Neurospora crassa OR74A: one gene and its partner. The protein of the gene in region 1 interacts with the protein of each later gene in a pairwise test. Links are inferred from orthologs where the notes say so. Each region holds a gene or a part of one and is shown in the gene's direction. Other genes may lie near its edges.

Region 1 (4,361 bases):
ACTCGATAAACACTTCGGTGCCCACGGGGACAGGTCTTAAGTACGTCGTGTTCAAAGACCGACTGACGCCCAGGGAGTACCAGAACCCGGGGCGGGAGACGAGCGCAAGCGGCATGCTGGTGCAGTAGTCGAAAAGCGTGGCGATGCAGCCGCCGTGCAGGGTGCCGTTGCGGTTGCAGTGGGAGGGTTGGACGACGTAGCGGAAGTAGGACTTGGGGTGGGGAAGACCAGAATCGGCCGAGATGAGTTTTAGGTGCGGGAGGAGGGGGGTTGTGTAGTCCTGCTTGTCATGTTAGTTTGTTATGTGGTAAAAGGAAGGAGAACTCTTATGGAAGAAATTAGGGAAAAGTGAAGAAGGTACTGTAGTAAGTGAAGAGTGAAGAGTGACGCACATGATCGCTGATATCACCGCTAGAAGCCTTTTCGAGTTCTCGTCGGTGTAGTTCGAGTATTCGTTGCTCGCCCGTGTATGGCAGTAGACTTGGGTCGACGGTAGTGCTTGGTGGTTGTACTGGTACTGGTGCGGGTGCTGGTGCGGGTGCGGGTGCTGGTGCTGGTGCTGGTGGTGCTGCACTTCTTGGTGGCTGCTGCTGCTGCTGCTGCGGGTGACGACTTTGTGAATGTTGACTTTGTGGATACGGTAGTAGTGGTGGTGGTGCCGGTTGCTGAAATTGCTGATATTGTTGGTGTAGATGGTGTAGATGGTGCAGATGATGATGTGGATGTTGATGTTGACCACCACCACCGCTCTTTGGTGGTGTTGCTGGTGGTGGTGGTGGTGGTGGTGGTGGCGGTGATGCCGACCCCTTTCTTCCTTCTTGACCACCGGCCATAGTATTTTCTTGCTCCTCTTGGGATGCTAACGAAACAACAACGACTTCAGATGTCTTTACTGGGCGATGATAAGTACGGATGGTCATCTTTTATCTCCGTGAGCGACGAGACGAGACGATAAGACGGGAAGGGAAGGGAAATAAGAATGATAAGATTGTGGCTTGCAGGTCCGGTGTTTCACTGTGCCGTCCGTAATGGGATGCGCGGCAGGGAAGGGCGGTTGTAGATTGCCGTTAGTAGAGGTAGTGTAGTCTCGTAGTGTGTATGTAGGTAGACGGGAGGGAGGTAGGTAGTTGCCTTGGTCGGTGTTGGTTAGTATCGATGTACCACACACACACAGGAACCGGCAATAAGTCAAAACAGGGAAGTAGTAGGTAATTTATCAATGTAGTGTTACCGGCGGTACAAGTAGTAGGTAGTAGTAGTAGGTATGTGTAAAAGAGCGGGATGGAAACAACACCGACAACGGATGCCCGACAACTCGACGGAATCGAACCAAAGCAAAAGAGGAGAGGGGGGTATCCATGCCTGCCGTGACTACCTAGCATAGTAGCAGTAGTCTACACTACACATCACAGGCACAGGGGGGGATGATTGGGGATGAATGGGCAAATGGGGTAAACTGGCGGGCATCCGTTGCAACCCATTTCTTGGGGTACATGAATGACCTGACAGCCTCGGCTACCTGGCAAGGTCCAAATGGCGGCGGCGGCAAGCAAAAGCAAGCAAGCAACTACACTAGACAGCGACGGGAGCACCCACAGGCCTCCACTGCGCTGCCCGACTTTCAGCTGTCCACTCACAGTGCTACCAAGTGCCACTTTTGATGCGTCGCGGCATCCACTCCTTGGCCCCGGTCTGAGTCCCCCCCCCCTTGTTCGAACTTCCAGGAGGTCGAGGTCCAGGTCCATCTCGCCCCGTTTCTTTCAATTCATCCCAATTATATCGTGAACTTGACTTGACATCAACAAATCCATCGATGGAAACCACGACGGCGATATAATACTAGTAAAACGTCACACCGACCCCCTATCACTACGCGCGACACTGGAACATACCGAAAGAGGAACCTCGAACTCACCCCCTCTCGATACAACCGGCGGGAGCCTATCCCATCCCATCCCATCCCGCCCCCGATAACCACCAGACCGTAACAATACCCAACCGGGCACCGTCGCAACAACCATGGAATTCGTCACCGCCCTCCGCGGCACCTTCGACGACGGCAAGCCCTCCCTCTTCGAGCTTCTCTCGGAACAACAACTCGCCTCCCTCCTCCCGCCCACCCTCCGCTACCTCCTCACCGTGCTCACCCACCGCTACCCGCGCCACCTGCTGCGCATCCTCAACTCCTTTGACGAGCTGTACGCCCTCGCGGGGCTGCTCGTCGAGCGCCACTACCTCAAAACCCGCGGCGGCAGCTTCACCGAGCACTTTTACGGCCTCAAGCGCGAAAAGGCGCTGGCCGCCGAGATCCCGCGCGCGGCCTCTTCGGCGCCCAACCTCGTCCGCGACGCCCTCAAGCTCTCCGATGTCGACATCTGGAAGAACCTGGCCGTCATGGTCGGGATCCCCTACCTGAAACGCAAGCTGGACGAGGCCTACGAGATCGATGCGCCGCGCGCCATGTTGGGCGGCCAGTACACGCGGCCGCCGGCAAAGGGGGCCCCGATGAAGGAGCGGTTCTTGTATTACTACCGCTGGTTTCTACGTAAAGTGTACCCGAGCTTGAACGCGGCGTATTACTTTGCCATCTTGGCGTTTAACCTGGGGTATCTGTTTGACAACACAAAGTACCATAACCCGTTTTTGTGGCTGATCGGGACGCGCGTGCGGCGGATGAACGGGGCGGATTATCAGGCGATTGAGGCTCTAGAGAAGGCAGCGGGGGCCGCCGCCGCTACCTCCAGATTAACAGGGGGGTCGATGTTCAGTCCGAGGAATATGAGTCGAAGGCTGATGGGCGGTCTGTCGCTGGTGCTGCCGACGAGTATTTTTGCGCTCAAGTTCCTTGAGTGGTGGTACGCTTCGGATTTCGCCAAGCAGCTGAGTCGCAAGGCGGCGGAAAGCCTGGATCTGCCGCCGCCGACGGTGACGGGGCTGGTGGAGGCGCAAGCGAGGAATAAGCCTAAACCCAAGATCACGAGGACGTCGGAGGATGGTGTGGAGGAGAAGGCGGATGAGGATGATGAGGCAGAGGAGGAGGCTAGCAGCAAGGAACCAACGCCCGAGACGGCGCCTATAGCGGCTTCGACGCTGTTGCCGATTTTCACGGTGCCACCACCCAAGAGATCTGATATGTGCCCTATTTGCGAGGACGAGATCCAGACGCCGGCGGCGTGTCAGACGGGTGTGGTCTATTGCTTTTCGTGCATACACAAGTGGATGAGCGGGACCCATGTCAGGCAGGAGAAGTTCATGACGAAAGAGCGCGAGGGCAAGTGGGAGAGCGGAGAGGGGAGATGTGCCGTCACAGGAAGGAAAGTGCTGGGAGGGACGGAAGGGCTGAGGCGGATCATGGTTTAGCCGGAAAGAAGATATTGAGGATGATGGATTGGCATGAGTTGTGAAAAGCGAACATTAGACATTATTTAATGGTGGCATATAATCTGGCAAGTTGCATAACCAACATACCGCAAACGAACATGTAAAACTGGACATGCTTACTGGTCAGACAATCAGATTCCTCTATCACCTCGTGGTCGATGAAATGTCAACAGCCATCTTCTTTTTTTTTCTGTACTGCCAAACCGGATGGTTCACGTACGAACAACACGAAGCTCATGCAAGAAAAAAAAAAAAAAAAAGGGGGGGGGGGATCAGAATGTCTATCAACACCGTTTCAGTAACTCGATTAATCTACCTGTACGTACTTCGCGAATCCAAAAAGGCAAAAGAAAGATGCGGTTTGTGTGGATCGAACACACGACCTTCAGATTTATGAGTGAAGTGGACTTCAGTCTGACGCTCTCCCAACTGAGCTAAACCCGCTTTGTTGTTGGACTCTAAGTGCCAAACCTTAACTCATATGGTAGCACCTACCACTTTGCCTGCCATGTTGACCAAATTCGCAATGAAAATGGAATTTCCCATCTTCCTGTATGTCTGTCTACGTCTTGCTTGACGATAATTTCTTTCAGATTACTAGCTAGTCAATTATTTGCCGTGATGAGAAGCGCTATCTAGTGTAGTTGATTTTACTTCAAACCCTGTAGCAAGTGGATGGCGATGTGATAGAGTTCGGTAGGTAGGTAGGTAGGTATTATTGCGATGCTTCTCATTGTATAACCATATACATACGACCACCAGTGAATATTCTGCCTTTCTCTGCCTGAAGAACGCTGTCTTGACTAGGTAGCTGTCTATGGAGAGAAAAAGAGAGAAAACAAAGGGGTAATGGAAATGGAAATGCATAGAGTGTATATATACCTCTACCGAACGAAGTCCTCGTGCGAGGAGTATAGTATAGTAGATAGAGAAGAGAAGAGTGATATCTTGTTGCAAATGCGCTCCTCCCTCCCTCCCTG
Region 2 (4,068 bases), on another chromosome or scaffold:
ATGGTATTGAGATGGGGGTGCAGCTTGATCATCCATGTGCACCGTAGTGCCAGATCCAGCGCGATGACGAAGTAGTACACCACGGGCTTATGGATCAGCAAGCGGCGCCGCAGACCAAACGGATGATCGGGAGAATTGCGTTCCTGTGCCCCAGCAAAGAGGGTGAGATCCCAATCCTTGGCAACGTCCCAGTAAAAGCTGTAGAGTGAGTTGAGCAGACACGCAACAATCCATGCACGGTACAGGCTCGTAGTTGGGGTACCGCTGGTGTTTGCGTTACGCAACATGGCGTTTAGAATGATAACAGGAAACGCGGTCGAGTACTTGGCCGCGTTGGCGAGATGTTGTCCACCCCAGCCCGTGGACTCCTTGAAAGGGGAATTTCGCACGCGCAGATATTCGATAAGACACTGGCGCAGCCGAATAGCGCTTGGTATCGTCAGGAGAAGTGGTACGAGATAGGTGCCGCCGCAGCTGCGATCGGGTCGGTCAGTAGCAGACCCATTCCGCGTGAAGAACATGCAGAGACATATGAACAGGTCCCCAAGGACCTTGGCGTAGCTGGTGAGAACATCAGCCAGCAAGATATCCCCAAACTTTCCATCCTTGGCCTCAGCCAAACCTCCCACACTGACGCGGCGCAGAGTTGCGAGTAGTCGACGTCGACCGGAGTGCGAAACAGACAGTCTTCGCAGGGGTAGCACGAAGAGGGCTGCGGTCACTGCCAAGTTGGTCATGGGAATCCAGTCATAGTCGATAACGCGTTTTGGATCGCGCCTGGTAAACGACCAAAATGTGAGAATCGAAACAGCGGAGCTTAGCGAAAGAAGAGTCGCAAGACGGTATGTCGAGTGGTGGTGAGGGAGCTGGGTTGGGCTCGATCTTCCTGGGTACCGGATTAAGGAGGGGACGTCGATCTTGCGATTATGGAGGAAGTGAAGGTTGAGGCCCCAGCCCCAAACAGCTAATCAACCAGAGATAGTCAGTTTACAACCGTGTATCCAGAGAGCAAACATACGGTAGGAAACTTGTATATACATACCTATGATCACGATGAAGGCAACCCGGTAGGGAAGGGGAAAGGTCAAGCTGAAGGAGTCGAGCTCCGGCTCAACCACGGGATCACCGTCCATTGCGCCAGGCAGCGGTCAATTTGCTGTCCGTCATGGAATGCGGAGAGGGAGAAGTAACAGTTGGACGCAAAGAAGAGTTGATAGGCTTGGGATCAAATTCCCAGCAGTAACGCGTTTGGAGTTTGTCAAGTGTCAAGATGGAAATTTTAATTTCATCTGTATTGTGGTAGCTGTCGCAAAGACACCGGAGTTGCCAAGCCCCTGTCGCGTGCACTCTTTTTGGCTTAGGGAGAAGACCCGACGTCAGTGCAACCCCTGGTCGCGGCCCCGTCCTGTGACAACCCGCTGCATCATCCCTGCCGCTAAAGCCTGGGCTACGACGTTCTGGGCACCCCCCTGCCAATTCCTCAGCTCGCTCCTTGTGAGGAGGAACCACGCCTGGGGCGGCGCCGGGCGTGCTGCCCCCATTAACCCCAAGGACCGAGGTCCATCCGTTCCCGACTACCACTTTCATCTCAGCTTCAACTGCCGCCTGTCGATCTCGAAACATCAAACAACAACTCGGATAATTTCAGATCGAAAAGACTTAATCATCCACTGCCACAGCTTCGACGATTCGACTGTAGGCATACGAGCTCTCCTAGGGTTCGAGAGTTCCCCCTGAATACGTCGACCGTGTAAACACAGCTTTTGACCCCCCCGACTTCGAGCCCACCCGACCCGACCCAAACGACGACATCAATTACCATGTCATTGACGGCCACCAAGAAGCCTCCTCCGCCGCTCACGAGCTCGCCATATCCATTCGCTGCAGCCCCCGACATTATCCGCGCGCATCAAAAAGATGCCTATTTCCAGGGCGTCCTCACTAACCAGCTGACCGACCTTCACCGGCGCGTTCGCGGTGCCCGCTCCGCCCACTCCTGGGCCACCGAAACCCGTACGGCTGCCGACCTGCTCTACCTATGCCTCACCACCCTCCTCGGCAACCGCACCTTAGGCGAGGAGTACTGCGACCTAGTCCAAGTCGAAGAGCCGAGTACGGGCGGCAACGGCAGGATACCAGACACCCAAAGCCCCGTCGAGCCCAGCAGCGAAGCCGGTGGCCCCCGTCTGCCCTCGCTCCAGCGACGAGCCGGCTACATCGTTAGTAGCGTTCTTGTCCCCTACCTTTTCAGCCGCCTGCTGCCCTCCATCCGCGCCGCGCTCCGCAAGCGCCTCCAGGACCGTCTCACCGTGCTTGCCCGCCAGGGCCGCGGCGACACCAAGGGCGCCACCCCATCTACCTCCAACAACAAGGGCGGTGGTTTCTCCACAGTGTCAACGCTTGAGTACCGCGTGAAGCGCTACCTGCTCACACACCTGACTTCCATCACCAGCGGCGCGCACCTGCACGCCTTGACGCTGGCCGTATTCTACTTTTCGGGTGCTTACTACTCTTTCTCCAAGCGCCTCTTCGGGCTGCGTTATGTGTTCACGCGGCGCATCGAGGAGGGTCAAGGCGGTCGCGCGGGCTATGAAGTGCTCGGCGTGCTGCTGGTGGTGCAGATGCTCGTCCGGGGATACCTGCATGTGACGGCGCAGCTGTCGTCAACTTCGCCGCTTAGTGCCGAGGAGGCCAGTACCGAGGCGAGCATTCGGGAGCGCGCCTTTGGGCCGGGCGCTGCGGGCACACTGGATGTGTCGTTAGATGAGAATGCCTATAGCAGCAATAACGAGTTGCTGGTGGAGACGGGCAAGTCGGGTAACCAGCGTAGTTTGGCGGAGATTGGACGGACGACGCACACCCCTGTGCCCAAGGGCGGGAGGGCGAACTACGACTTGGCGGCGAATGAGGAGGTCATGGGCTGGATCAAGGGGAGACAGCAGAGGATGTGCACGCTTTGCTTGGAAGAGCTGAAGGACCCGGCGGCGACCCAGTGCGGACATGTCTTCTGCTGGTCGTGTATTGGAGACTGGGTGCGCGAGAAGCCTGAGTGTCCGTTGTGCAGACGTGAGACGATGGTACAGCATATTCTGCCATTGAGGGTTGCTTAGAGCAGTCCTTTTCTGGCGGTCGGGGGGGACAAAATACTTAATATACGGGAGATATGACAAAAAGCAGGAGTCTTACAACGTCCTCTCGAGAACAGATTTTGGGTAGTATTTGCACATGACAAGGAGCGAACAGTCAACAACTGCGGTTTAGGGATAATTGTATATGCAGCAAGCATATTGCCAGGAGAGAGAGCCTGTTTTCGTACATAGCCTAATGATTGAATGATCCGACATATTCTCAAAAGGTCAGGAACTTTTGACAAGCTAATGCACATATGTTCAAGTATGAAATTGAATTATTCCTTGTCCGATATTAATATTTGGTATTTACTCTACAAAAACTTCTCTTGCTTGATTAATATCGAGTCTCGTCCCGTTTGGGTCTTAATCAAGACCCGAGCAACCTCGACATAGGTCCAAAGGGTCATGAAATACATACACGAGGTGCGAAAGAGAAAATATGACACCTCAATGAAAGCCTCAAGTTCCGACCCATCTTCAAGCATCAAGCCACCAAGGTCGTGGTTGTCGTACTTGTGCTTCGCTGTCCCCCAACAGCTCGTAATCGTGGACGCTTTCGCGTCATCAAGATCGTGGGCACATCATATGCCTCCCCTTCAACAGAAAGACCCATTTACCGTATGGAATGAGGAGAGAGCGACGGCGCGGATTTCGTTGTCGAATCGAGCTATTTCTTTTCGGGGTCTCCTGAGGAAACCCTTTGGATGAATTCTGCGATGGCTTCAAAGTAGCCTTCTTCGAGGACACTCGAGTTATGGTCGCCGTTGGGAAGAGGCTTCCAGATCTTTATCGGAGCGTTGGAGAGATGATAAAGCTGCTTCATATGAGTGGGTCTAAGATGCGGGTGATGGAATTAGCGGACAGCTCTCATGCAACCCAACCGGCCACAACCACAGACCGTGGCTCAGAGTACCATATTGTGGAGGCACAATGAGAA

What was found.
Region 2: the proteins of pex12 (region 1) and pex10 interact in binary tests that used the Saccharomyces cerevisiae proteins (3 or more experiments, as listed by UniProt). The link is inferred for Neurospora crassa OR74A from reciprocal best matches to the Saccharomyces cerevisiae genes PEX12 and PEX10.

What each region holds. Positions count from the first base shown.
Region 1 is NC_026504.1:5,625,278-5,629,638, reverse strand, and holds pex12 (peroxisome assembly protein 12), read left to right. Parts: upstream 1-1,694; 5' UTR 1,695-2,019; coding exon 2,020-3,360; 3' UTR 3,361-3,749; downstream 3,750-4,361. Other genes in the region: NCU05244 (thioesterase), read right to left, coding at 1-280, 393-920. UniProt on the Saccharomyces cerevisiae protein: Component of a retrotranslocation channel required for peroxisome organization by mediating export of the PEX5 receptor from peroxisomes to the cytosol, thereby promoting PEX5 recycling.
Region 2 is NC_026501.1:5,159,002-5,163,069, reverse strand, and holds pex10 (RING-1), read left to right. Parts: upstream 1-1,547; 5' UTR 1,548-1,820; coding exon 1,821-3,110; 3' UTR 3,111-3,444; downstream 3,445-4,068. Other genes in the region: NCU03278 (protein-ER retention protein), read right to left, coding at 1-964, 1,043-1,133; bem46 family protein, read right to left, coding at 3,799-3,964. UniProt on the Saccharomyces cerevisiae protein: E3 ubiquitin-protein ligase component of a retrotranslocation channel required for peroxisome organization by mediating export of the PEX5 receptor from peroxisomes to the cytosol, thereby promoting PEX5 recycling.